Canis lupus familiaris: one gene and its partners. The protein of the gene in region 1 purifies or fractionates together with the protein of each later gene. This does not show direct contact. Links are inferred from orthologs where the notes say so. Each region holds a gene or a part of one and is shown in the gene's direction. Other genes may lie near its edges.

The links.
Region 2: the proteins of KEAP1 (region 1) and SLK purify together in Homo sapiens (affinity purification with western blotting; 3 studies listed by BioGRID and IntAct, with this or other methods). This does not show direct contact. The link is inferred for Canis lupus familiaris from reciprocal best matches to the Homo sapiens genes KEAP1 and SLK.
Region 3: the proteins of KEAP1 (region 1) and PGAM5 purify together in Homo sapiens (affinity purification with western blotting; 6 studies listed by BioGRID and IntAct, with this or other methods). This does not show direct contact. The link is inferred for Canis lupus familiaris from reciprocal best matches to the Homo sapiens genes KEAP1 and PGAM5.
Region 4: the proteins of KEAP1 (region 1) and TSC22D4 purify together in Homo sapiens (affinity purification with mass spectrometry; 4 studies listed by BioGRID and IntAct, counting the BioPlex papers as one, with this or other methods). This does not show direct contact. The link is inferred for Canis lupus familiaris from reciprocal best matches to the Homo sapiens genes KEAP1 and TSC22D4.
Region 5: the proteins of KEAP1 (region 1) and OTUD1 purify together in Homo sapiens (affinity purification with western blotting; 3 studies listed by BioGRID, with this or other methods). This does not show direct contact. The link is inferred for Canis lupus familiaris from reciprocal best matches to the Homo sapiens genes KEAP1 and OTUD1.
Region 6: the proteins of KEAP1 (region 1) and MCMBP purify together in Homo sapiens (affinity purification with mass spectrometry; 3 studies listed by BioGRID and IntAct, with this or other methods). This does not show direct contact. The link is inferred for Canis lupus familiaris from reciprocal best matches to the Homo sapiens genes KEAP1 and MCMBP.
Region 7: the proteins of KEAP1 (region 1) and NIBAN2 purify together in Homo sapiens (affinity purification with mass spectrometry; 3 studies listed by BioGRID and IntAct, with this or other methods). This does not show direct contact. The link is inferred for Canis lupus familiaris from reciprocal best matches to the Homo sapiens genes KEAP1 and NIBAN2.

The regions. Positions count from the first base shown.
Region 1 is NC_049241.1:51,048,502-51,052,690, forward strand, and holds the start of KEAP1 (kelch-like ECH-associated protein 1), read left to right. Parts: upstream 1-1,389; 5' UTR 1,390-1,567; intron 1,568-1,806; exon of another isoform or gene 1,807-1,963; intron 1,964-3,543; 5' UTR 3,544-3,590; coding exon 3,591-4,189. UniProt on the Homo sapiens protein: Substrate-specific adapter of a BCR (BTB-CUL3-RBX1) E3 ubiquitin ligase complex that regulates the response to oxidative stress by targeting NFE2L2/NRF2 for ubiquitination.
Region 2 is NC_049249.1:16,533,864-16,537,363, forward strand, and holds part of SLK (STE20-like serine/threonine-protein kinase), read left to right. Parts: intron 1-514; coding exon 515-628; intron 629-3,500. UniProt on the Homo sapiens protein: Mediates apoptosis and actin stress fiber dissolution.
Region 3 is NC_049247.1:426,355-429,101, reverse strand, and holds part of PGAM5 (serine/threonine-protein phosphatase PGAM5, mitochondrial), read left to right. Parts: intron 1-1,200; coding exon 1,201-1,326; intron 1,327-1,404; coding exon 1,405-1,493; intron 1,494-1,573; coding exon of another isoform or gene 1,574-1,593; coding exon 1,594-1,727; intron 1,728-2,747. UniProt on the Homo sapiens protein: Mitochondrial serine/threonine phosphatase that dephosphorylates various substrates and thus plays a role in different biological processes including cellular senescence or mitophagy. Modulates cellular senescence by regulating mitochondrial dynamics.
Region 4 is NC_049227.1:9,141,326-9,145,620, forward strand, and holds the start of TSC22D4 (TSC22 domain family protein 4), read left to right. Parts: upstream 1-1,495; 5' UTR 1,496-1,856; intron 1,857-2,297; 5' UTR 2,298-2,576; coding exon 2,577-3,338; intron 3,339-4,295.
Region 5 is NC_049223.1:7,654,088-7,658,186, reverse strand, and holds the start of OTUD1 (OTU domain-containing protein 1), read left to right. Parts: upstream 1-1,299; 5' UTR 1,300-1,540; coding exon 1,541-3,031; 3' UTR 3,032-3,105; intron 3,106-4,099. UniProt on the Homo sapiens protein: Deubiquitinating enzyme that specifically hydrolyzes 'Lys-63'-linked polyubiquitin to monoubiquitin.
Region 6 is NC_049249.1:30,250,686-30,254,185, reverse strand, and holds part of MCMBP (mini-chromosome maintenance complex-binding protein), read left to right. Parts: intron 1-351; coding exon 352-517; intron 518-1,793; coding exon 1,794-1,927; intron 1,928-2,884; coding exon 2,885-3,049; intron 3,050-3,500. UniProt on the Homo sapiens protein: Associated component of the MCM complex that acts as a regulator of DNA replication.
Region 7 is NC_049230.1:55,934,577-55,938,076, forward strand, and holds part of NIBAN2 (protein Niban 2), read left to right. Parts: intron 1-320; coding exon 321-425; intron 426-510; coding exon 511-673; intron 674-1,800; coding exon 1,801-1,988; intron 1,989-2,833; coding exon 2,834-2,989; intron 2,990-3,459; coding exon 3,460-3,500. UniProt on the Homo sapiens protein: May play a role in apoptosis suppression. May promote melanoma cell invasion in vitro.

The DNA.
Region 1 (4,189 bases):
CACAATTCTAAGATCATGACCTGAACCGAAATCAAAGTCAAAGCTTAACCAACTGAACCACCTAGGTGGGCACCCCATCCTTTGTTTCTTAAATTCCACATATGAGTGAAATCATATGGTATTCATCTTTCTCTGACTGGCTTATTTTGCTTAGCATTATACTCTCTAGCTCCATTCATGTTTTTGCAAATGGCAAGATTTCATTCTTTTTTATGAATAATATAAATATATACATCTTCTTTATTTGTTCATCTATGGATAGACACTTAGGCTGCTTCCATAGTTTGGCTTAGATGGGCTCTTGTTAAAATAAATACATTTAAAAATTAACTTTATATCATAATCAGCATGAATGGCAAATCAGTATCCCTTGCAGTGAAAAATAACAATTAGGGCAGCCCTGGTGGCTCAGCGGTTTAGCGCCGCCTTCAGCCCAGGGTGTGATCCTGGAGACCCAGGATCCAGTCCCACATCAGGCTTCCTGCATGGAGCCTGCTTCTCCCTCCTCCTGTGTCTCTGCCTCTCTCTCTCTCTCTCTCTCTCTCTGTCTCTCATGAATAAATAATAAATAAAATCTTAAAAGAAAAATAACAATTGTTCATATCCACTGGGCACTAGCATTCCCATTTCACCCTTATGATCACCTTGCAGGTAGGTTTTACAGGGAGGAAATTGAAGCGTGAACAGGTTGAGGTAGGGACCTATCCCTTCGGAGCTGGACAGTGGCGGAGCCGGGCTTCAAACCCCTGCAGGCGAACTTCACACACCTCTAGACCGGAAGTAACTAAAAAATAAAGATAAGGAGGGGCGCCTGGGTGGCTCAGTTGGTTAAGCCTCTGCCTTCAGCCGGTCAGAATCCTGGAGTCCTGGGATCCAGCCCCGCATAGGGCTGCCCGCTCAGCGGGAAGCCTGCTTCTCTGTCTCCTTCTGCCCCTTCCCACTCGTGCGGGAGCTTGCTCTCTCACTGTCTCTCAAATAAATAAAATCTAAAAAATAAAAATAAAAACAAAGAAAAGCCAACTAGGTAAATAAATCTAGCCGGATCCTTCACCACTGGACCCAGAGCTGCGTGGGGTTAAAGGGAAAAGAGAGGGTCGGGGAGAGCAGCCACACGCTGAGATGCTGAGATCCGGGGGATGGAAGGGGCCAGCGCAAGTGGGGACGGACCCCCTCCCCCCCCGCCGCCGCCCTGCTCCCTCGCCGTCGCCCGCTCCGCGCCCAGGGGCGCCGGGCACCTGCGGGAAGGGCGGGGAATCGCGGCTCCCTCCCCGCCGCGCCTCTCCGCCCTCTCCCCGCCTCCTTCCCCGCCGACCCGAAGTCGCCCCCCCACCCGACGTCCAAGACCCCGCAGGCTTTGACGCCCCAGAGCCAAGGTCCCCCCAACGGCGGCCGCGGGCGCCCCATAGCGAAAGTTAGGTGGGAGCCGCCCCCGGCCGGGCCGCGGAGGGTTGCTCTGGGGGTTTCCGGGAAGCTCTGCGCACGGGGGCACCCCTGTGCCCGGAGCCACTGCGGTGCCCCGGGCATCCCCGCCCCGCGGCCGGAGCTACGAGGCTGCGCGGGGGCCGAGGTGAGCGCGCGGCCGGGGGGGCTGCCCATCCACCTCCAGTGCAGGCAGGGAGGCGCCGGGCCTCGAACCCGGGCTGAGGTTCCCGGCGGCTCCGACCACGCGGCCGGGCGCGCCGCAGTGACGGGCCCGAGTGGTCGCCCCGCCGGGGCTGCGCAGCTCCGAGACCCGCGGCGGCGGGGGGGGGCGGGGCGGGGCGGGGCGGGGGGCGCGGCGCATCCGTCAGCCCCGCCGCCGCCGGAGGCCCGGGCCGCGGGGACTCTTATTCTGACACGGCCGGCGCCCGGCTCTGCTTAGTCATGGTGACCTGCGCGCGCTCCGCGCCTCCCCCCGGCGCGCAGCGATGGAGGCGCCCGGGCCTGGGCGACGGAGGCGGAGCTCGAGCGCGGCCATGGCGGGGTGAGTGAGGCGGCCTGCGCCCGGGCTGTGGGTACGGCGGGCCGGGACGGCCCCGGGGGTCGGGGGACGGGGCGCCGCGGGCCCGGGCGCCTTGGGGTTCCCGCGGCCCCGCGGGGGGCCAGGAGGGCGAGGCCCGAGTCCTGGCCTTTTGTTGGACGGCGCGACTCGAGGGCTGGCCCGGGGGCTACGCAAGCCGGCGAGAGGCCCAGGCAGCGCCCCGCGACCGAGGGCCCCGGAGCCCGGCGCGCCGGGGAGCTGGGAGCGCGCCTCGGGGCTGCCAGCGGAAAGGCCGCGGCAGGGTCACTTCCTCCCTTCTCCGGGCCTCGCTGGCGGCTCGGGCAGGGCATGCGCAGTCCCCCCACCGCTCGGTGGGGAAGAGCCCGGTGTCCAAGGGGCACCGTCGGCCGCCTGGCCGGAGACCAAGAGGCTGGGCACGGGCCTCGGGCGGGGAGAGGCGGCGAGCGGCCCTGGGCCCGGTGGAGGAGGGTGCTCCGGCAGGCAGTGAGGCGGGCAGCCGGCCAGCCAGCCACCGCGTCCTGACCCCTGAGCAGTGCCAGGCCCCAGGCAGGACGTTGGGGAGGCACATGCTAGGGTGGGCGCGACCCTGACCGACCCGGGGCTCCCTGCCTCCCGAAGCGCGGGGCTGAGAGGCGGAGGCGCCCGCCCGCCCTCAACAAGCCAGCGGCCGAGCTCATCGCCGTTTCCGACAAGTGCGGTGGTAGAAGTAAGACAGGGAGGAGAGGACTGCGCTGGGTCCGGGAAAGATAAAGGGAGAACCCGGGGAGCCTCTTGCAGATGCCCCTCTTCTCCCGACAGGACCTTTCAAAACAGCTCGTGCCCTGGCCCTCCAGCCTCCTCAGGGTTCACGGAAACCTTCCCTTTAGCAGGATTTCTTGTTACACTCCTCCCTGATGCTCCAGCTGGTCTCTCTCGCTCTGCCTCCGAGCCTTTGCACTTGCTATTCCCTCTGCCTGGAAAACCCCTTCCGTGTGTGCATCCTTCTTGTCTCCGCTCTAACAGAGCCCCCGACTACCCGATTTAAAGTAACTGCCCCAGGCCACACTGTCGCAGTGCTGTGGTCCTTTTCTTCATAACCCCCCGTTCCTACTCAGGTCTTGTTTGTTTTACTTATGGCCCATCCCTCGCCAAGTGTCCTCCAGGGGGGCACAGTTTATGTCTGCCTGTCTCCACTGGGATGTCTCCGGTTCCTGGTACACAGTAAATAATCAGTAAATGTTGGTGAGGCCAATGAAAGAATGAGCTAGATGTGCTCTGTCTAGGAAGGGAAGAGGTGGACAGAGGCGGACTGTGTAGGGCTTTAGTAGGACACTGAAGAGTTTGGTTTCACTCATTGTGCTGTAGGGAATTGTGGGAGGATTCGGCACAAGGGAAAGACATCATCTCACCTGTGTTTTAAATTGGACTCTTGGGCTGGTGAAGCCATGTGGCGCTGAGTGAGCACAGACGGACATTGCTTCACCTGGGCTTGGGAAGGAAAACTGGTCTAGGAGTCGTTTTATCGTAAAAGAGGAGGCCTGCCCCCAGGCCCTGCCCCCAGCCCTGTGCTCTCCCTCCTCCAGGCCTCTGAGTGCCAGTGGTGGTGTTGTCCCTTGTCACCTGGAACCCCATGCAGCCGGAACCTGGGCCTAGCGGGGCTGGGGCCCGCACTCGATTCCTTCCCCTGAGGTCACAGCGCCCCGAGGGGGCAGGGGACACGGTGATGTACGCCTCCACCGAGTGCAAAGCCGAGGTGACGCCCTCCCAGCACGGCAACCGCACCTTCAGCTACACGCTGGAGGACCACACCAAGCAGGCCTTCGGCATCATGAACGAGCTGCGGCTCAGCCAGCAGCTGTGTGACGTCACGCTGCAGGTCAAATACGAGGACGCGCCAGCTGCCCAGTTCATGGCTCACAAGGTGGTGCTGGCCTCATCCAGCCCCGTCTTCAAGGCCATGTTCACCAATGGGCTACGGGAGCAGGGCATGGAGGTGGTGTCCATTGAGGGCATCCACCCCAAGGTCATGGAGCGCCTAATTGAGTTTGCCTACACGGCCTCCATCTCCATGGGTGAGAAGTGCGTGCTCCACGTGATGAATGGCGCCGTCATGTACCAGATCGACAGCGTCGTCCGTGCCTGCAGTGACTTCCTCGTGCAGCAGCTGGACCCCAGCAATGCCATTGGCATTGCCAACTTCGCTGAACAGATCGGCTGCGCTGAGCTGCA
Region 2 (3,500 bases), on another chromosome or scaffold:
TACTCATGAGAGACACAGAGAGAAAGAGAGGCAGAGACATAGGCAGAGGAAGAAGCAGGCTCCATGCAGGGAGCTCGATGTGGGACTCAATCCCAGGACCCTGGGATCACGCCCTGGGCCGAAGGCAATCTCTCAACCCCTGAGCCACCCAGGTGTCCCTAGAGTGGGATAGTCCTAATCCCACATTCTGGTACCAGTGGGTAAAATCCATATAAGGTGCACTTAGAAGTATCAGTTTTATGAGCAAACTTTCTTAGAAAGGAAAAACAGTATCAAACTAATTCTATTTAAGTTCTTTTCATATGGTAAGTAACAGATCTAAGCTTTTAAACTTGCAGAAATGAAGCTATGACTCATTTCATAGTTTTTAGCCCTTCTTGGTTTTCAGAGGAGAGTCTGGAACCTCAATAATAGTTTGATGTTTAATGAATACTTTATTATTTTGGAAGATAATTACATTTGTGAAAAATTGCTTAGTTAATCTGAAATTTTTTAATTCAAACTTTATTTTCAGAATGAAAAATGTCACCTGTTGGTTGAGCATGAGACTCAGAAACTGAAGGAGTTAGATGAGGAACACAGCCAAGAATTAAAGGAATGGAGAGAGAAATTGAGACCTAGGAAAAAGGTAATTTTTTTTAAAGATTTTATTTATTTATTCATGAGAAACACACAGAGAGAGAGAGAGGCAGAGACACAGGCAAAGGCAGAAGCAGGCTTCATGCAGGGAGCCCGATGTGGGACTCGATCCCGGGACTCCGGGATCACACCCTGGGCTGAAGGCAGGCGCCAAACCATTGAGCCACCCAGGCGTCCCTGGAAAAAGGTAATTTTAAAAGCTTTAGATAAAATATGTTTGTGTTCATCCATTTATCCACTCAGTTATTGGCTGTTTATCTAATGTGTGTCAGATACAGTGTCAGAGACAGGAGATACAGAGATAGAGACAAAATCTGTTCCCCAAAGGTTCAGAATGTAGTAACAAGCAATTACAGTTCAATAGGATCATTGCTTTGAAGGAGGTAAGAACAGGAGACAGTGTTAAGACCAAGGCCAAGGACTGCTTCAGTCTGCCTGGGAAGTTAAGGAGGCTTTACAGAGGAGATGCCTTATAAGCAAGTGAGACTTCAGGATGAGTAAGAGCTTGCTAGGCATTCAGACAGGTTGGGGTGTGATTGGCAATGTAAATACAGAGAAGAGAATGGATGAAAATGATGTGTATAAAAATTGTAAATAGCTCCTTGTCATTGGGGCACTGAAGGAGTGTGCCTGTGTGTAGGCATTAAGGAGGGAGAGAAGGAAGGAAGTGGTGACAGCTTAGCCTGGACAAGTTGACTGAAGCCAGATTATAAGGCCCCAGTATGATAGTAAATTCACAATCAAGTAAAATAGGCAAGGTCTCCTCTCCCCATCCAGCTATCAGTCTTTTTTATACCTCCTTCCTTTTTGATTTCCTGCTGGCCTGGTCCAATTGGTCAACAATTGCAGCTCATTTTTTTTTTCTATAGCTTTGTGATTGTCTCCCTTTGCTAGCTCTCAAACTTAAACCTTTATTTTTCTTGGCCTTCCTTCCTGCTGTACCTTTCAACTGTTCTTTCTTCATTATCCAGTTAGTCAGTCAAGAAAATCTGTATTTGGCAGCTACTGTGTGCTAAATGTTTCTGGAAGAAGTGAAATAACAAGTCAGTTGTTAGTGTGGCTTTTTAATTTAAATTTTATTTCTTGTTAAATTTTTGGATAGATAATACATTCATGTGGATTGGAATTCAAAAGGTACAGAAGAGCCTTTTTCCAGTTTCTTTAACTCTTTGCAATCTAGTTTTCATCTCATACTCCCCAGTGGTCATAAGTGAGTTGCTAACAGCCTATGCTATTATCTGTTGTCATTAGAAATCTTGTTTCTTAAAATTGTCTTCTCATCTGACTTTTATGACCTCTCTTCTTTCTCTGTGCTCTTTATCACTTTTTGTCTTCCAGTCACCTGGAATGTAGATATCTCACAAGTTTACAGCCTTGATGATCCTGTATCTTGTCATGGCTTATCTGCTGCATATTTAAGGACGGTCACAGAACTTGTATAGTAGGGGTTGTATAGAGCACAAATTCTGAAGTCCTACAGATCTCAGTGCTAACATTTAATTTTGTCACTTCACATTCCTAAGCCCAGTTTTACTCATTTATAAAACAAAGATGACACTACCTACCTAATTTGGGTTGTTAAGACAGTTAGAAGGAGTGATGTGTGTGTATGGCGCTTCCTAATACCTGAGCTGTAGTCAGGGTTTGATGAATGGTTGCTGTTGCTATTGTATATTGTTTGTTATTATTGGTTCATGCTCTAAGCACACATTTTCCACCTGGATGGTCCATTCCTTCTTATTTCATTCAGGCCTCTTTTCCAATATCATCTCACCAAAGGTTTCTTTTTCTGGTGACTATATAAAATAGCCTCCATGCCCACTTCAGACATTCCCTGTCCCCTCATCTTTGTCTTCCTTTATAACATTCTTCAGCACCAGACTCATTCGTTTATTATCCATCTTCTCTCACAAGAATGCATGCTCCTTGAAAGCAGGAGCGTTAGTTACCTCGTGGTTTACTGGTATATTTCATCTTCTAGAACAGTTCCTGGTATATTGTAATGATTAGTACATACCTTTTGAATGTTGACTAAAGATTGTAAGCTCGGTGGAGATCAGACTGAACTCAGCAGGTTCATCCATGTCACCACTGCCCTTTGTTTTTCCCTCCCCACCTCACTGCCCCCACCCCATGCGGTCCCTCCCATCATCAGTGTGCTTCTCAACATCCCTGTCCTCCTAGTTGACATACAATCTAGCAACCTGAATTGTCTTGTATTTCCATCACATCTCATGTCAGTGAGATGACAAATAATTTTAACTCTTTTTATAATAATTCTCTTTCACATTACTATCATTCTACTGCTTAAAAATGTTCAGTAATGTCCTTAATGGGCCTTCTGATCTCAAATTCCTTTTCCTTTCTTCCTGTGCTGTCTGCCATTCACTGGAGTATTTATATTTAAGAATATCTCTGATACTGGCTTGTGGTGATGATAAATTTTTAATTCTATCAGAATAAAATAGCAATGTCTCACTTTGACGTTATGGCCATCATAGTGCTATATGTACGTTGGCCACAGTCAAACTTTCTAGTATCATCTCCCATAGACCACTTTGTTCCCTGTTCATATTCCAGTATAGGGTATAATCGCCATTACTCATACTAAGTTCATGGTTTCCTGCCTGTGTGCATTGCTTTAGCACCCTCTGTCTGGCATGCCTTCTACATCCTGTCTATCAAATTCTTATCTTAACTTCAAGACTGAGCTCATGTTTCACCTCTTCTGAGAAACCTTCCTATATCTTTCCATCTTCTGCTAAGCTTTGTGCCTCTGCAGCAGCACTTATCCCTGAATCTCTTGTCCACAAAACCTTTGATATCTCAGGTATTTATCAAGCACTTACTATATATATGCT
Region 3 (2,747 bases), on another chromosome or scaffold:
CTCTGCCTGTGTCTCTGCTTCTCTGTGTCTCTCATGAATAAATAAATAAAATCCTTGAAAAAAAAAATTCCTCAACTTTAAAAAATGTATGGTGGATCTCACAGGTGATCAGACCCAAAGCACAGCAGAGGTGTTCTATACTCCCTGATGCTCTGTAAGTGGCATAGCCCATGCACCCTGTTCTGCTTGACTTAACCTGTTGCTGAAGATCCTTCTATTCAGCACTTGCAGATCTGTTTAAAGTTTGCTTCATAATGGTAAACAGACAGGATTGAGTGATAGCTCTAACCATCTCCCTGGCAGGAGTGCTACTTATTGCAGTTTCTTGCCATCGTGAGCAGCACTGCGGGGCATGCCCTTCCACCGTGGTCTTTGTGCCCATGTGCAAGCATATCTGTAGAAGAAATTCCTAGGAGAGGAAGTACAGGGTGGTCTGAGATAAGGTTTACATTTTTAAAGATGTCTTTGTTGGATAGGATATTAGCCATCTGTGCACATTCAGTGCTACATGCACTTGAAACTGACCTTCTGAGAGCATTTTCATCTAGATTCTAAAATATATATATATATATATATATATATTTTTTTTTTTTAATTTTATTTGAGAGATTGAGCAAGACAGAGCACAAGCGGGAGGAGGGGAAGAGGGAGAGGGAGAAGCAGACTCCCTGCTACGCAGGGAGCTTGACTTGGGACTCAATCTCAGGACTCCAAAATCATGAGTCCAAGGGAGACACTTATCCCACTGAACCACCCAGGCATCCCTAAAATATATATTTGAGAAAAAAGATTTGTATTTGTACACAGACTGTACTTAGTGAATGCTGAGGCCATTTGGTCTTTACGTGTTGACATCTGTGATAATGCACAACTGGTCGATCCATGGCACGTTGCAACTCCATGTTTGGACAAAATTAAAAGTGGCATAAAGGACACAAAGATAGGAACAGGATCCCAGATCTCAGGGATCCTCAACCTTGGTCATTAACATTCCTTCTGTATGGAGCTAAAGGTAACTGCATTATCTCATTGTTTCCACCTGTCAAATGCTTGGCCCCTAGTTAGGGCCAAACCCCAGGAGGGTCTGCCCGTCTTGTTCCCCAGCCGTAAGGGCACTTGGTAAAGGACTGGAGTATTTCTGAAGTAAACAAAAGAGGAACTCCAGCAACCTATAATTCTCTGGTGTTTTTCACCTTCAAGGTCGTGAACAGGCTGAACTAACTGGGCTCCGACTTGCAAGCTTGGGGTTGAAGTTTAATAAAATTGTCCATTCGTCTATGACCCGAGCCATAGAAACCAGTGACATCATCAGCAAGCACCTGCCAGGTGAGTGCCCCGCATCTCCAGGGCACACTGGGTGGCTAGTCCTGAAGGGGCAGCACCTAGCTGCGGCTTCTCTTACAGGTGTCTGCAAGGTCAGCACAGACCTGCTGAGGGAAGGCGCCCCCATTGAGCCCGACCCGCCTGTGTCCCACTGGAAGCCAGAGGCTGTGGTAAAAGCCCCACTCCCCCCGAGCCCCCCCGACCTGCAGCCTGCATGCCCTGCGGCCTGCATGCCGTGGCCATCCTTAAGATTCCTTGCTCTGCCCCCAGCAGTATTATGAAGATGGAGCCCGGATTGAGGCCGCCTTCCGGAACTACATCCATCGGGCAGATGTCAAGCAGCAGGAAGACAGTTACGAGATCTTCATCTGCCATGCCAATGTCATCCGCTACATCGTGTGCCGGTGAGGGGTGACATAGGTTCCCTGGCCCACCATCCTTCCTGCCAGCCTGTGCCAGTGCCTCTTCCCTGGAGACCTTAGCCTTCTGGGAGAATGTCAGTTTGGAGTTTTTCCATGATCGTGTATTTATGGCGGGAATAGCACAAATGTGATCCACTTGTCCAGGGTAGGTCGGGGTGCCCGAGAAGTCAGTGGCACATTCTGGGTGATGCTAACACGGTCACTTGGTTCAGGCACTGTGCGCTGGACTTCACACCGTACAGTCGGTTTTTCCCCCTCAGTGATTTGTAAGCGTCTTGGGAGACAGTGCAAATCTTCTGTCCCTCTGATTTATACCGACTGACTTTAGCCCATTGGGAGTTCCTGCCACAACAGATACAGTGGTGGTGCTCACCTAATGGTGGTTTTGCATTTCTGTCTGTCATTTGTTATTTGAAATCCTTCTGTAAGACCTCACTCTTACTCTGTTTATTTGTAGGATTATAGACTCATAGATCTGTATTTAGCACTGTGGATTAGAACCCATCACCATGTTCGTCCCTTCACTGCTCTGGCTGCCCCAGCACTGGCTGCCCCAGCATTGGCTGTTGGGCCCCCAGGAGGCTTCTGTGTCCTCTGGACCTGCCTCACTTCCTGGCACTAACGGAGGTTCCAGAGCCCTCATGAGTGATGCCTGCCCTGAGTAGCAGCCATGTACCAAAGGCCCTTGGAGGTAGTTAGGCCAGCTGGGTGCTTATGTATTTAACCAAAGTTCACTTAGTGAAAAATTTGAAGTAACTGGAATCCCAGACACCCCCTGGACCCATTAGAAAGTGTGCATTGGGCATTTTAACAGCTGAGGGATCTCCTCTTGTGATGAGTCTGACAGGGCAGGACAGGACACAGCCCACCGGCTGGCCCACAGGACTATCCAAATGTAGGCCCAGGGTCCTTGCTCACCATGCTTGATCCTTGGACCTTTCACCAGGGCTGGCAGGAACGGGGTCATTTCCCCTCCAATGTCCCATGCACGGCCTCTGGTGA
Region 4 (4,295 bases), on another chromosome or scaffold:
GAATAAATATATAAACATCCAGGCAGGAGGCATCATTTTGTTTTTCCCTAACCCTGAAGAATGGTTAAAAATTTCCATGAGCGAAAGCTGAAGAGGGAGGGATGTGTCAGCCCAGTCCTAGTCTCAATGCCATCAAATACTAGCTCTGGGGCCTCGGGCAAATAACTGACTACCTGGGAGCCTCTGTTTCCTCCCGCGGAAACGCTGAAGCTCAAAACCTACCCCATCTCTGCCCCCGACTGTTTATAGTCCATGAAATAACTATATAAAGCAGGCAAATATGAGAAATTTTCAATATGCTCAAGAATACTTCCATCTGACCAAAATTAATTAGAATCCAATTCCTTCCAAAGCTAGGAGTGAAGGCAGATGTGGCTTTTCAACCCTGCTCTTGCTCAGATTGTTGGTTGAGGGTGCCATAAAAGAGAAAGTGGCCATCAGAGGGTTATTTTTTCATTCCAGGCATTGGGTAATTCGGTAAGGCCTTCGTGTGTGTGTGTGTGTGTGTGTGTGTGTGTGGCTTCTCCAATAGCAAAGAAGGGATGGGATGGGAGAGGTGGGCGGGTAGGGCTTGTCCTCAGGTGCATCTGTGTGTACATTATGTATACATGTGTGTGTGACCAGGGTTGGAGAGAAAGTGCAAGTCAGCACATTTCTGAGTACATCTCTTTGTTTCTTTATATAGGGGCCAGACAAGGGCACACCTGAGTGTGTAGAATGTTCCAGCTGTACCACTGACAGCCTCTCGGAACCTTCCGGGTCTCAATATCCACATCTAAGAAGAGGGATAATATGGTGCCTGGGATTTTTAAAAATACTCCAGCACAGCACAACAAGAGGTATTGGGAGTATAGAAGAACCCAGGTTGGTTGTGAGCTGATCATTGTTGAAACTGCACGATGGGGACTTGGGAGTTTATCATTTTTCTCTACTTGGGGGCCCATTTGCAAATTGTCATCATAATCCACGTTTTAAAATAAAGACAGGAAAGAATAACGGAACCTTCCTCATAGAGTTACTGTGAACACCAGTGAAGATATGGCAAGAGCTGAGCAGCAGCTTATGGGGTGGCGGGCACCCAGCAGAGCCCCTGGTTGGCAAGTTCTTGCTCTCTCCGTAGGCCAATGGCAGCAAGTGCCTACAAGTAAGGGAATCCCTGGCCCCCCGGCAAACTCCTCCCCTTTTCTCTCTGCCCTCCACGGCCCCTCCCTCCGAGGAAACGCAGGATTGGGGCCCAGCAGGTGTGGGGTTAAGCCTGTTGCGGGGGGGGCGGGGGGGGGGGGCAGGAACAGCAGCAGCAGTGGCAGCAGAGGTGGTGGCAGGCCTGGCCCCGGGCCAGCTGGCCGGGAGCCCCAGGAGGCAGAGAGGGCGGAGGAAGGGGAGGAAGAGGGGAAGGAGGAGGAGGAGAGGAGCAGTCAGCAGGCCCGAGGAGGCAGGACTTCCTGGTGTGGGGGTTGTCAACAGCCCAGAAAGAGAAAGGCAGAGAGACCGGAGAGAAGAGCCGAGGAGCGGAGAGAGACCCAGCGGTTCCACGCGGAGGAGATTTGAGAGACCTGCTCGCCCCAGCCACCTAGGCGGCTCCACCTGGAGGATCGGGGTGGGGGCAGAGCCGCCTCTTCCCTCACCAGTCCCGGGACCCTTGGGGCTTCGGAGGCCGCGCCTGGGCTCCACCAAGGAGGCGGGGGTCCCTTCTTTTCTGGCGAGCAAACTTTTTACGAAGATGCCTTGCGGGGCGAAGTGCGGCCCCCGAAGAGAAGCGGACAGCCCCTGATCGCCGCCGCGCCCCCCGCGGGAAGGACAGCCCGACATCGTAGGCTCCGGGACCCCCGGCCCAGCTCGGTGGCCGAGGCCGAGAGGTAGGGCTCTGGGCTGGCTGGGCGGGGCGCTGGGGCAGCGGGGCAGGGCCTGCCCGGGATCGGGGAGCTGGGGTGCGGGCAGCCTGGACACTCGGCAGAGGCCTCCCGGCGGCGGGGCCGACCGAGGAGCTGCTTCACCCCTGCTCGTCCAAGGCCCTGGAGCCCCCTCCTGCTGTCGGGCGACTCGGTCCTGTGAGTCTGAATCCCAGGCAAGAAATGCCCAACTTTGGTCTGGGCCGCCCCTTCCTACTCTGTGGGACCGCTGGGATCTCCTGGTCTCAATCGTCTCTGCCAGTCTCTTTGTCTCTGGGTCTCTGGTGGTTTCCCCTTCCTCCCCCATCCTGCTCCCCAGAGAGGAAGCCCCAGAGGTGGCCTGCCCACTGCTTTCTCACACACACACACACACACACACACTCTCTCTCTCTCTCTCTCTCTTTCCAGTTTGCAAACTCAGCTCTGGAGTTGGGCAGCGCCAGGGGCAGGAAAAACCTGCCCCTGCCCCTGCCCCCACCTCCTGCCACCTCCCCTGCCCTGTGCTCCCTTTACCAGCCAAGTACCCCCAGTTCCTGCAAAGCCCTCCTGCCATGTCGGACCCAGATGTCCCCAGGGGCCCTGATGCCCCCGCCATGTGGCCCCCCTGTTCCAGGGGTGCCTGAGCCCCTGGAGGAGCCCCAGCTGCACCCCCTGCCCACCTTGGCCGAGTCCTGAGCCCCAGGGACCATGAGTGGGGGCAAGAAGAAGAGTAGTTTTCAAATCACCAGCGTCACCACGGACTATGAGGGCCCAGGGAGCCCAGGGTCTTCAGAGCCCCCTGCCCTGCCGGGCCCCACCGCGCCCCCACCCCGTCTGCCTAACGGGGAGCCCAGCCCCGAGCCAGGGGGCAAAAGCACCCCCCGGAACGGCTCCCCACCACCTGGGGCCCCCGCCTCCCGTTTCCGGGTGGTAAAGCTGCCCCATGGCCTGGGAGAGCCTTATCGTCGAGGCCGTTGGACGTGTGTGGATGTTTACGAGAGAGACCTGGAGACCCCTGGCTTCAGCCGGCTCCTGGAAGGAGTTCGAGGGGCCTCGGGGGGCACTGGGGGCCGATCTTTGGATTCCAGGTTGGAGCTGGCCAGCTTGGGCCTGGGTGCCCCAACCCCGCAGCCAGGCCTGTCTCAGGGCCCCACCTCCTGGCTCCGGCCGCCCCCTACCTCCCCTGGACCTCAGGCCCGCTCCTTAACCCGGGGGCTGGGCCAGCTGGCAGTACCTGGTAAAGCCAAGGTGGAGACACCCCCTCTGTCAGCCTCCCCACCCCAGCAGCGTCCCCCAGAGCCCAGGACAGGGGATAGCGCCGGCCCCTCCCGGGCTGCCACGCCCCTGCCCTCCCTGAGGGTGGAAGTGGAGGCTGGGGGCTCAGCAACAGGGACCCCTCCACTATCCCGATCAAAGGATGGAGCCCTGCGGCTGAGGATGGAGTTGGTTGCTCCAGAGGAGATGGGGCAGGTAAGAGCTGGGTTCTGGGGTCAGGGAGACACCTGAGGGGTGGTGCTTGTTCATCTGGGCCTGGGCCTAACCTCCAGCTTGGGCCTCCCTGCCTCCACCTCCTTACCACCCTCTCCCCATTCCAACAACACGTGTCTGTCCCTCTTTTCTCTTCTTGCCCTCTTCCTGGGAAGTAGTCCATCCTCCTCTTCATGCAGCCTTGTTTTCTTTCTCAGGCTCCCTCTTCCCCTATATCCTGCACCTTCTTTCTTTCTCTAAGCCTTTGTTACCTTTGGCCTCCATCTCTGTTTCCTTATAGCTTAGTGCTGTCTCGCCATCACAGAGATGTCGGCTTCACACTTTGGCCCTCACCTTCTGTCTTGGTTTCACCCCTTCTGGCTTCAGGCATGGGGGATGGAGGTCCCAGATGGGGGTAGGTGCTTGGGCCTCTGGGAGAGGAGCTGTCCAGGTTGGTGGGGAGGGGTAAAAAGAAAGTCTCCCTGGCCGCACCACGCACCATTCCAAAGGTGACGGTCTGTCTTCTTATTAGCCACTCATCCCAGCCCCATCTGCAGCTTTGTCCCAAGTCAAATTTCTCCAAGGACGTGATGAACTAGGTGGGATGGAGGGCTTGGCGGTGTGTCCTTTCTGCCCTCAGGCCCCTGTCTCCGCTCCCCTGCATCTAGGCCTCTCCATGATTGATAACTGGGGGTGGCCACCAGGGAGTGGGAGAGAGGCAGGAAGCAGTGGAGAAAGAGTTAAATCCTCTGGTCTTTCTGCTTCCTGTCTCCAAAAGAGGAACAAGTCTGGGCTGGGGGGCAGGATGCCTGGGTCCCTGGGGTGAGGGTGGGCCGCCAGGGATGTGGGGGATGGATGTGTCTGTCCTGAAGGAGAAAATAACACCTTGGACTTCAGGAGCGAGGGCAGGGAGTGTGAGGATGAGAACTTTTCCCCCTTCCTGGCCTTGGGCACAAACCA
Region 5 (4,099 bases), on another chromosome or scaffold:
TGGGTGGAAGCATGCGCCACAGTCCACAGCTATTTCCCCATTTCCTTTTTTTTTTTTTTTTAAGATTTTACTTATTTATTTATTCATGAGAGACACAGACAGAGAAGCAGAGACCTAGGCAGAGAGAGAAGTCTGATGCGGGGAGGCGGGGGGGGGGGGGGGGGGGGGGGGCTTGATCCCAGGGCCCCTGGGATCACGACCTGAGTCCAACGCAGATGCTCAATCACTGACCCCCACCCAGGCGTCCCTATTTCCCCATTTCTTAAAAAAGGTGAGAGAGCTTCCACGTTCAGTATGAACGCTTAGGGCCTGTTACTTGCAGGTGATGGAAGCTCAGAACACAGCACACCTGCCCGCTAGTATAACCAACACTCGGTTGATCAAATCGAACACTTTGGCTTCCCTTTACAGAGAGGATACGACTAGCACCGGTGAGCACAACTCTTTCCAATATTCTGCTCGGCCTCGGCAGGCATCACGACTGACCTACGGTGGGCGGTGGGCGGCTGCACCTGATCTTCCAAAGGCTGTTGGAAGGGCTTCCCATCGCCCAAGTCGTGTGTTTGCCCGTTGACAGGGGCGAGGGGTGCAGAAAAGTTGCTTTCGGTTGGGCAAGGCAGCAATCGCGGGTGGACGCGGGGCGTCACGGTGTTTTAACACTGTGACCCAAAGAACTGAAATCAAAAGGACGGCAGCGGTGCCCTGGCCCTGCAGGGGGTTACAAGGCTACGCTCCGTCCCGGAAGCTGCCTTCGAACCGCACGGGGTCTAGGCGGCGCAGCTTCCCCACGCAGCGCCCACCCCGCCACGATCCGCCGCGGCAGCCGCCGCAGGAGCAGGAGCGCGGCGCGGCGCCAGGACCCGCCGCTGAGGAGCAGGGAGCGTCCGGCGGCCCCTCCCGCCCCGCCCCCTGCGCCGCGGGCCCCGCCCCCTGCGCCGCGGGCCCCGCCCCCTGCGCCGCGGGCCCCGCCCCCTGCGCCGCGGGCCCCGCCCGTGACGTCCGCCGAACGGGCCGGGGGGCGGGGCGCGGGCCGGGGGGCGGGGCGAGCCCGCGCGGCTGAATGGGGCGCCGCAACGAGCCGCACATTCCAACGGGCCCACGTGACGCGGCCGCGCGGCCTGAGGTAAACAACCGCGGCCCCGCCTCCCGGCCCCTCCGCGCGCCCTGCACTGCTCCTCGCCGGCGGGACGCGCTCCAGCGGGGCGGGCGGCTTTCCCCGAAAGTCCCCAGCGGCCGCCGCGGCCGGAGCAGCGGCAGCGGGCGCGGCGCCCCGGGTGTGCGGGAAGAGCGCGCCGGCCCGGGTCGAGCGCGCGTCCCCTCCCCGCCCCCACCGCGCGTTGTGGCGCAGCAGGAATTTGGCGGGGACCCGGGCGCTATTTGCGGCTCCTGACGCGCCGGCGGCCGGCGGCCCTTGGGTCATTTCTATTCTAGGGGCGCCGGGTCAGCGCGCCCGGCCGGCCCCCTCCGCCGGGCCCGGAGGGTGTGTCCCCCTCAGCCCGGCTCGCCGCGCCTATAAGGGGCCCGAGCAGCGGGCAGGGACATGCAGCTCTACAGCAGCGTCTGCACCCACTACCCAGCCGGGGCACCGGGTCCCACGGCCGCAGCCTCCGCCGCCCCCGCCGCCGCCGCCGCCGCCGCCGCCGCCCCCTTCAAGGTCTCCCTCCAGCCTCCCGGAGCCGCCAGCGGCGAGCCGGAGCCCGAGACCGGTGAGTGCCAGCCTGCCGCGGCCGCCGAGCCCCGAGAAGCCGCCGCCGCCGCCGCCGCCGCCCCCGCCGCCAAGATGCCCGCCTTCTCCTCCTGCTTCGAGGTGGTGCCCGGGGCCGCCGCCCCCGCCTCGGCCGCCGCCGGCCCGCCCGCCGGGTCGTGCAAGCCGCCGTTGCCGCCGCACTACACGTCCACGGCGCAGATCACCGTGCGGGCCCTGGGCGCCGACCGGCTGCTGCTGCACGGGCCCGAGCCCGGCGCCCCGGCGCCCGCCGCCCCGCGCGGCCGCTGCCTCCTGCTGGCCCCGGCGCCCGGCGCCCCGCTCCCGCCGCGCCGCGGCTCCTCGGCCTGGCTGCTGGAGGAGCTGCTGAGGCCCGACTGCCCCGAGCCCGCGGGCCTCGACGCGGCCCGGGAGGGTCCCGACAGAAACTTCCGACTGAGCGAGCACCGCCAGGCCCTGGCCGCCGCCAAGCACCGAGGCCCCGCGCCGCCCCCGGGAAGCCCGGAGCCCGGCCCCGGCCCCGGCCCCGGCCCCGGCCCGTGGGGCGACGAGCACCCGGCGGACAGGAGCCTCCGGGGCTGGGAGAGGGCGGGCGAGCGCAGCGACCCTGCCGGCGCGGACGAGGCGCGGCGGCCCGACCCGGAGGCCCAGGCGGCCCCGGCGGCCCCGGCGCGGAGCTGCGAGGCGGCCCCGGGCGGCGCGGCGGAGGCGGTGGTGGTCTCCAGGTCGGATCCCAGGGACGAGAAGCTGGCCCTGTACCTGGCGGAGGTGGAGAGGCAGGACAAGTACCTGCGGCAGAGGAGTAAGTACCGGTTCCACATCATTCCCGACGGCAACTGCCTCTACCGAGCGGTCAGCAAGACGGTGTACGGAGACCAGAGCCTGCACCGGGAGCTGAGGGAACAGACGGTGCATTACATCGCCGACCACCTCGACCACTTTAGCCCCCTGATTGAGGGCGACGTGGGGGAGTTCATCATCGCTGCTGCTCAGGACGGGGCGTGGGCCGGGTACCCGGAACTGCTGGCCATGGGGCAGATGCTGAATGTGAACATACATCTAACGACTGGAGGGAGGTTGGAGAGCCCCACGGTGTCCACCATGATTCACTACTTGGGCCCAGAGGATTCCCTACGGCCTAGCATTTGGCTCAGTTGGCTCAGTAATGGACATTATGATGCCGTGTTTGATCACTCCTATCCTAACCCCGAGTATGACAATTGGTGCAGACAGACTCAAGTGCAACGGAAACGCGACGAAGAACTTGCCAAGTCCATGGCCATATCCCTATCCAAAATGTATATCGAACAAAATGCATGCTCTTGAAGTGTCTGAAAACCTACACCCTGGGAGAATTGCATACATAGTTTGTGTTGGGAGAATTACGAACTCTAATCAGGGTAATAGCACTTTTAAACTTCCTAGTAGATTTACTGTAGGTGTAATGCCTTAATCATTTTTTTGAATGTTTTTCTCCTCAGAGCTGAAGGTTGCTGGGCACCTAAATAATGTTTCATGATGGCTTGGGGTGATCCTACTGCTTATTTATAATTTGCTGTATAAAGTTGGCGCTACTTATAATTTGCAAGCTAGTTTCTCACGGTGTAAATTTGTTCATTCCTGGTAATCTGTTTTCTATAAAAATGTATTTTTGCACAACGTTTTTAAGAATGGGTGTACCTTCATCTATGACGTGTTCCGTTTTGACAGACAGCTTTCCGGCATCAATCCAGAGAAAGTGCTTTATATGAAGTTTATTACTTTGAACAGAGTTTGTGATTCAGTAGTTACTTTATGTTGTTCGATTTGAATTTTATGATTCTTAGATCATTATTTCAAGTGGATATTAATGCATTTGTGTTACCAGATGATTGACCCATTCCATTTTAATGAAAAACAGATTGGTTGTTTTGGAAATCATTATTTTTCTAGAAATGGTCAGCCTTTAAAAGAGAAATATTTAAGGGAGGGAGGAGTTTTCTGTAAGGGGGAATAGTACCAGGTCTTCTTACTTGAATGGAAGTCTGATATTTGCAGATGGCAGAGTGATGACTATTCTGTACTTTGGTTGGTGTTTAGAGTAGATTGGTGCTCTGAATTGTTCTTATTTATATTTGTCATTTTGTTATAAGAGCATTTTAACTTTGTGACAAGATAAGCCTCCTGCTTTATATAGCTTCTTGGATTCAACTAAGAGATTTTAAAAAACTACTAGCATTAAATGCCTTGAATCAACTTTGGCAGTTGTTTTATAGCAGGAGAATAGTGTCTTAATATTTTATTCCTTTTAAATTCTCTCAAAAGGCAAAATAGGATTGCCCTGTATTATGTACAAATAAAAATGTCTGTAAACAGATCTTGTATGGTTTGCTGGGTCAAACAATGTTCTCAACC
Region 6 (3,500 bases), on another chromosome or scaffold:
GTAAAAGAAGTTGAGCTTCTGAATGTTTGGTAAATGTATCTGAATTATCTATTGTTTGTTTCTCGTTTCCTGGTAAAATCGAAATTATTTTTTTAAGAATACCGAACAAAACAGTTGAGAGTAAAGCAGCTCACAGAATTAGTGAAGTTCTTATTTAAGTTGTAGATTTATTATTTAAGGTGGATATGTAAGATTTTTTCTCTAGGAGCTCAAGAAACCATGAAACTATAGCCTTAGAAATTAATATAAGATCTTTCCTTACACACATATGGAAAGTATTTAACCCCATATATGTACTTCCTTAAAACAGGAAACTTTGTTCCTTGCTCATTAAAAAATTTCTTTTCGCAGTCTTTTCGTCTGCAGATGACTATAGAGAACATGAACCATTTGAAATTCATCCCCCACAAAGACTATACAGCCAATCGCCTGGTCAGTGGGCTCCTCCAGCTACCGAACAACACTTCCCTTGTGATTGATGAAACTCTCCTAGAACAAGGGCAGCTGGACACACCAGGTATGGACTTGAGTGTGTCTCTTCATTCCTAATCTCCCATGAAAGCCAGATCTGGTATTGACTTTTAAAAGGATCACCAATCAGGGATCCCTGGGTGGCGCAGTGGTTTGGCGCCTACCTTTGGCCCAGGGCGCGATCCTGGAGACCCGGGATCAAATCCCATGTCGGGCTCCCGGTGCATGGGGCCTGCTTCTCCCTCTGCCTGTGTCTCTGCTTCTCTCTCTCACTGTGTGCCTATCATAAATTAAAAAAATAAAGTTTGTTTTTTTTTTTTAAATAAAAGGATCACCAATCAGAGACAAACTTCTATTTCACAAGCATTTTGGATCAAGGCTTGCCATATGAATTAGTGTAATGTGGATATTATAGACTTAGAAATTGTGTACATTGGCTGTGTTTTGTCCTAGTATGAAAATAGTACGATGACAGGACAAGGATGTAGCAAGGAGCTCTTTAAGGCTAAGAAAGGAGGAGATTATGCCTTCAGTCATATATTAGCTAAAAAGAAAAGTGTAGGGGCACTTGAGTGGCTCAGTGGTGAGCATCTGCCTCCGGCTCAGGGCATGATCCTGGGGTCCTGGGATGGAGTCCCATATAGGGCTCCCTGCATGGAGCCTGCTTCTCCCTCTGCCTGTGTCTCTGCCTCTCTCTCTCTCTTTCTCTCTATCTCTATCTCTCTCATGAACAAATAAAATCTTTAAAAAAAAGAAAGAAAAGTGTAGAGAAGATTTAATAAAACATTAACTGCCCAATATGAAGTTTTTTATTTTTTTATTTCAAAGAATCTCTTAAAAAAATATTTAGTAGAAGACTACACTTTATTGGGGGGTAAGTTCAAGAAGTAAAGGTAGAAGGAAAAAAATAGTGTGGACTGGGTATACTTAATAAGGCACAGATGAGTATAAAAATCCGTAAAACTCAATAATCTTATCTCTATGCGTAAAAATCATTTTAGTTCAATCATACTGTGCTAGACCTGTACACGTCACATAGAAAGTGATTGTACTTACTGGGAACCTATCTTGTACCTAGTTGTATACCAGATGCTAGATTAGATTTTAGGAGGTCCTGGCCCCAAAATACATTTGTTTAGCTTGACCAGTATTGTCCGAAGCCTATTACTTAGTAAACATTTAGCTTAGGAGGTCGAACAGTGCTTGAGATAACTTTTTAAAGCAGTAGAAACTTCATGTCTTACGATCAGTGTCAATAAAACCAAATTGTTTAGGTGATTAAAATCAAATGACTAAAAAATCACTATTTTTTTATTTTTCAGGTGTTCATAATGTGACTGCCCTGAGCAACCTAATAACTTGGCAGAAGGTGGATTATGACTTCAGTTACCACCAGATGGAATTCCCCTGCAATATTAATGTTTTTATTACTTCAGAGGGGAGATCACTCCTGCCGGTACGAGGAGACATGTTAAGATGGAGGGAGGTTACGTTGGAAAGATACCTGTATTCTTTTGTTTCTTGGTATGGCTTATTATTGAGGAGTTAAACTTGTTTCAGAATTGGGGCTGTTGATTATCAGTAAGAGAATTGATTATTTTGTTCCCGCTGTGGGAATGAAAACCTGTGAAGAACCAGATACGGCGAATCCCAAGAAGAGCAGAGGAAAGCTGTCGGTAGCAGCAGCTCCCACACCCAGGCAGAGAAAGTAGAAGCTTTCTGTAAATTGCCTGATTCACATCTAGACCTTTGTTCTTGCTGCCTCCGTCCTATTGTCTCTGCCAATCTTACGTGAGGAATAGTTCAGAATTCCTTTTAAGACATTTAAAAATGTTCCTGATGACATGGTAATTATTTTTATGCTTTATGGTGAAATGCTCTGATAAATCATCAGAGTGACTGATGCAGGGAGCTTTTAATTGTGTCTTTTCATGATGAGAAGTACGCCCCGTTGTCTAAAAGGTGTAGAGTTTCTCTGTAAACTGATGTTCACTGTGATTCATGAGAAACTGCCCGTGAACGAGAATGAAATGGCCCCCGGGTAAGTTTTCTCTGGGAAAGTGTGATTTGCTTTACGTGGTTTCTAGACAGAGAGATCAGTAAGACGTACACATATTCCAGGATTAAGAAAGCCTTGAAAACATTTTAATTAGCTGGTTTTTAGAGGTTGGTTACCTTTTTGTGTGTTTACTGCTCTTCCTGCGGAAATGTAAGTAACCAAAGAAACGCTCACCTCTGTAATTGTCGCCGAGGGAGTCACGGTGCTTATAAACGAATGTTAGAAAGTGTCCCCCCTCCGGTAATAAAAAGTATTTCTCGATTGCTACGCGGGCTGATACAGATGAAGCCTCCTCCCGAAATTTTGGATTAATTTCGGAACGTGGGAAACCCCGCGTCCCGTTGGTCTCCGTAGGCAGACTGCCAGATCCACCTGGAGCCCCAGCTCATCCCGCCCAACATGGAGGAGTACACCGACAGCCTCCTGTCCGCCGTGCTCCCCTCTGTCCTCAACAAGTTCCGCATCTACCTGACCCTCCTGAGGTTCCTGGACTACAGCATTTCCGATGAGATAACCAAGGTGTGTCTGGGGTGAAACCAACGATTTCCCGTGTTGAGTTAGACGGTTTGGTCACGTTCCACTTACCGCGACTGGCGCCGAGCTCGTGTCCTACGTGGGCGGCGCTCCTCCGCGCGGTTACAGTCCTGCTTTGCGCTCCTGTCTTTAAATCGGAGGGAAAAAGTTAGGAGGAGAAAGACCTTTGTACCGCTTGGGTATTTCCCTGTGTGGTTCCCTTCCCCGTGGTCCTTCCGTGCTTCCTGTCGGGCACATCGGCTGTGACAAGTTCTGCCGAGTGGTTGCCCATCTGGGAATGTCTGAATTTCTCCGTTTTTGAAGACTAGCTGTACTGGACGTGGAGTTCTTGCTTTATAGACTTTTTCTTTCAGCGCTTTTCACGTGTGTCCTCCCGTTGCCTTCTGGCGTGGGGGTTTCTGGTGAGGGGTGCGCTCGCGGCTGAGGCGAGGCCCCT
Region 7 (3,500 bases), on another chromosome or scaffold:
GCGGCCTTGGCCCTTACTCTCTATCCAGCAGGAGAAACAGACGTTTGGCAAATAAACACACGTACTTCTATGTGCAAGTGAGGGGGGAGAGGGTGTGGTGTTCTGGACAGGGAGGCAGCATGTGCAAAGCCCCTGGGGTGGGTGAGGGGGGAGATCCTTGATTCTGAGGATCCTGTAGGTCCCTTGAGCAGGTAAGGTGGGGCAGCGGAGACATGGAGCCAGGCCAGGCCTACAGGAGGTGGGCCTTGAGTGGAATGCAAAGAGGAATCTGCCAGCTGGCTACGCTCTAACCCTGCCCTGGCTATGCCTCCCGGTCCTAGATCCTGAGCAACCTGGTGATGGAGGAGCTGGGTCCTGAGCTGAAGGCAGAGCTCGCCCCACGGCTGAAGGGCAAGCCACAGGAGCGACAGAGGCAGTGGATCCAGGTGGGTGGGTGCGGGCACAGGGCTGGGGGTCCTATGGCTGCCTGGAGCCCTCGCTCGGATTCTGACACCGCAGCACTGCCCACAGATCTCGGACGCCGTGTACCGCATGGTGTACGAGCAGGCCAAGGCACGCTTTGAGGCCGTGCTGGCCAAGCTGCAGCTGGCCCGGCCAGCCATGGAGGCGACCATCCGCACAGACATGGACCAGATCATCACCTCCAAGGAGCACCTGGCCAGCAAGATCCGAGGTAGGCAGGTCACCTGGGGCTTCAGGAGCCAGGGCTTGCCTCCCTTCTGTGCCGACCTGCATACTTTTCACACTGGTGACTCCATTCATTGGTCATTTTTAAAAGTGAAAGCAAATCTGAGCCATTGGTTCTCCCAAGCCCTGGTAGTTTTGTGGCTATTTCCGTGAACCCCAACCTTGAGGGTGTCAATCTTGTCATGGCAGTTCGAGCCTCTTGCTCAGTTTTGGTCAGTCTTGGGCTTGACTGGGTTTGCAGGCATCGATTTCATCGCGTGATTCCCTCTGGTCACGTCTCACTCTTTGGGGTCAGTGTGTGTGTCTTCCTGTTCTCGGCCCTGTGCCCTCGGCCCTCCCTGCGCCGTGGCCGCAGGTAGCTTCTGGGAGGGTGAGTGCCTGAGGCCCCTTCTCTTCTCACCGCGTTCATTGTGAGCTGCGTAGAACATGGAGAGCTGACAGTATCTTATCAGACAGCCAACTTTAGCTAGGCAGAGGAGAGGGAGGGACCCCAAAACACCCCCACGGGCAAGAGGCCTCGTTCATGGCTGCGTGAAGCCAGGCACGCGGGTCCAGAGCAGGGGCCGGCTCGGTGTGTGCTGAACCCTGAGACTCACCAAATCTACCAAAGCGTGTTTTGTTGCATTAAACAACAAATAGCAGCGAGACTCCTAGAGACGGGTTCTTTCCACCCTGAGTGAAGCAGAACGCTGACACCTTTGGACTAAGTGCTTTTTCTTAGTTTGCCATCAGAGTTTTAGAAATATCAGGGGCCAATCTCAGAATCCCTTGTTCTTTTTGATGCATGGACCTATGAATCCTTCTGTTGGCTGGTGTCGCGAGTGGTTTTCTTTTTTTTTCTTTTTTTTTTTTTTTTATGATAGTCACAGAGAGAGAGAGAGAGAGAGAGAGAGAGAGGCAGAGACACAGGCAGAGGGAGAAGCAGGCTCCATGCACTGGGAGCCCGACGTGGGATTCGATCCCGGGTCTCCAGGATCGCGCCCTGGGCCAAAGGCAGGCGCCAAACCGCTGCGCCACCCAGGGATCCCGCGAGTGGTTTTCCGTATAGCGATAGTGTAATAGTGTGCCTGGGGGCTCTGGTCCGTGCACTCACCCGGCTGCCCCTGGGTGCAGCCTTCATCCTCCCCAAGGCAGAGGTGTGCGTCCGGAACCACGTCCAGCCCTACATCCCGTCCATCCTGGAGGCTCTGATGGTGCCCACCAGCCAGGGCTTCACCGAGGTGCGGGACGTCTTCTTCAAAGAGGTGACCGACATGAACCTGAACATCATCAACGAGGGCGGTGCCGACAAGCTGGGTGAGGTGAGGCCAGGCCCCTGGCCCAGGGATGGAGCCCCTGCAGGGCCCTCGCTGTGACTCAGGGCATCACCTGTCCCTAGAGGGTCTGCTGGAGACTAAGGGCCTGAGGGCATGAGGCACTGGAGGCAGCAGAGGAAAAGGGATTGGTGATCCCCTCTACTAGGCAGGTTACTGAAGTATCAGAGGACTTAACAGAGGAGGGAGAGGAAGGAAAGAGGAAGAGGGAAGGAAGGAGGGGGGAGGGGGAAGGAAGGAGGAGAGGAGGAGGGAGAGGAGGAAGAAGGGAAGGAGGGATGGAAGGAAGTACAATTACTGAAGTGCCATGTCATGCTGCTCCCCCTCCCCCTCCATGGAGATGGCCCATGCCTCTCCTCAGTGGTCTGGTTCTCAGGGGCACAACCTTCCTTCCACAGACCCCATGTTGGGGTCCTCAGTGTCTGAAGCCCTACATGGCTGTGGGGTGCAGACAGAACTGATCCTGTAATCTTTGCCCTCCTCTTCCACACTGGAACTGAGGGGTCCATAGACAATAAAAATCACAGCATTTGAGAACCATATAGGACCTCAGAGATCATGAGACAGTATCTCCCGATTTTGAGGCTGAGGAATATGAGGTTCAGAGAGGGTGAGTGACTTGCCCAAGGTCACCCAGGAGAACCTGTCCCCTGGCTCCAGCCTTCATATCCTCATCCCTCTGGGCCCCCACAGCTTAGCCTGCAGGTGGCACCTGCAGGTGGCCAGACCCACGTCTAGGGGACTCCCGGGGCCCAAGTGAGCTGTGGGGCTGCAGGGACTGCCTCTACTCTGGGGGGCCCTGCTCAGGTCCCTGCGTCTCCGCTTCCCTGCAGTACATGGAGAAGCTGTCCCAGCTGGCGTACCACCCCCTCAAGATGCAGAGCTGCTATGAGAAGATGGAGCCACTGCGGCTCGATGGGCTGCAGCAGCGTTTCGACGTGTCCAGCACATCCGTGTTCAAGCAGCGAGCCCAGATCCACATGCGAGAGGTGGGCCCCAGCACCCACGGCCGCCCACTTTCCACAGGCCCGCTCTCCTGGGGAGAGGCCCTTCCGTCCACGACCGTAGGCCCTGGCCCTACCTCCTCTGGTGCCACACAGCAGCCGCGCTCTGCCCCTGGAGTGCTCACTCCTGCTCTGGCCTCTTGGGTGCTCCCCATCTGCTGGCACACCTGTGCCTCTGGCTAGCCTGGACTCCTTTTTTCAGGTTTCATCCTAGAGACCCCTTTCTCCAGGAAGCCCTCCATGTTTCCCAGGCCCCTTCATGCAGGGCCCAGGACCTCTGTTTCCTTGAGGCAGGGACTGGATGCCCCACACAGTGCCCACGCACAGACATTCAGTAAAGGTGTGGGTGAACACGAGTGCACAGCCTCCCTTACCCCCATGCAGACCTCAGAGGCATGTGGGCAGAGGTTGTGGTCACTCCTGGGCCCTCATGTACCCCACGGTGTGCCCTGCAGCAAATGGACAACGCCGTGTACACCTTTGAGAGCCTTCTATA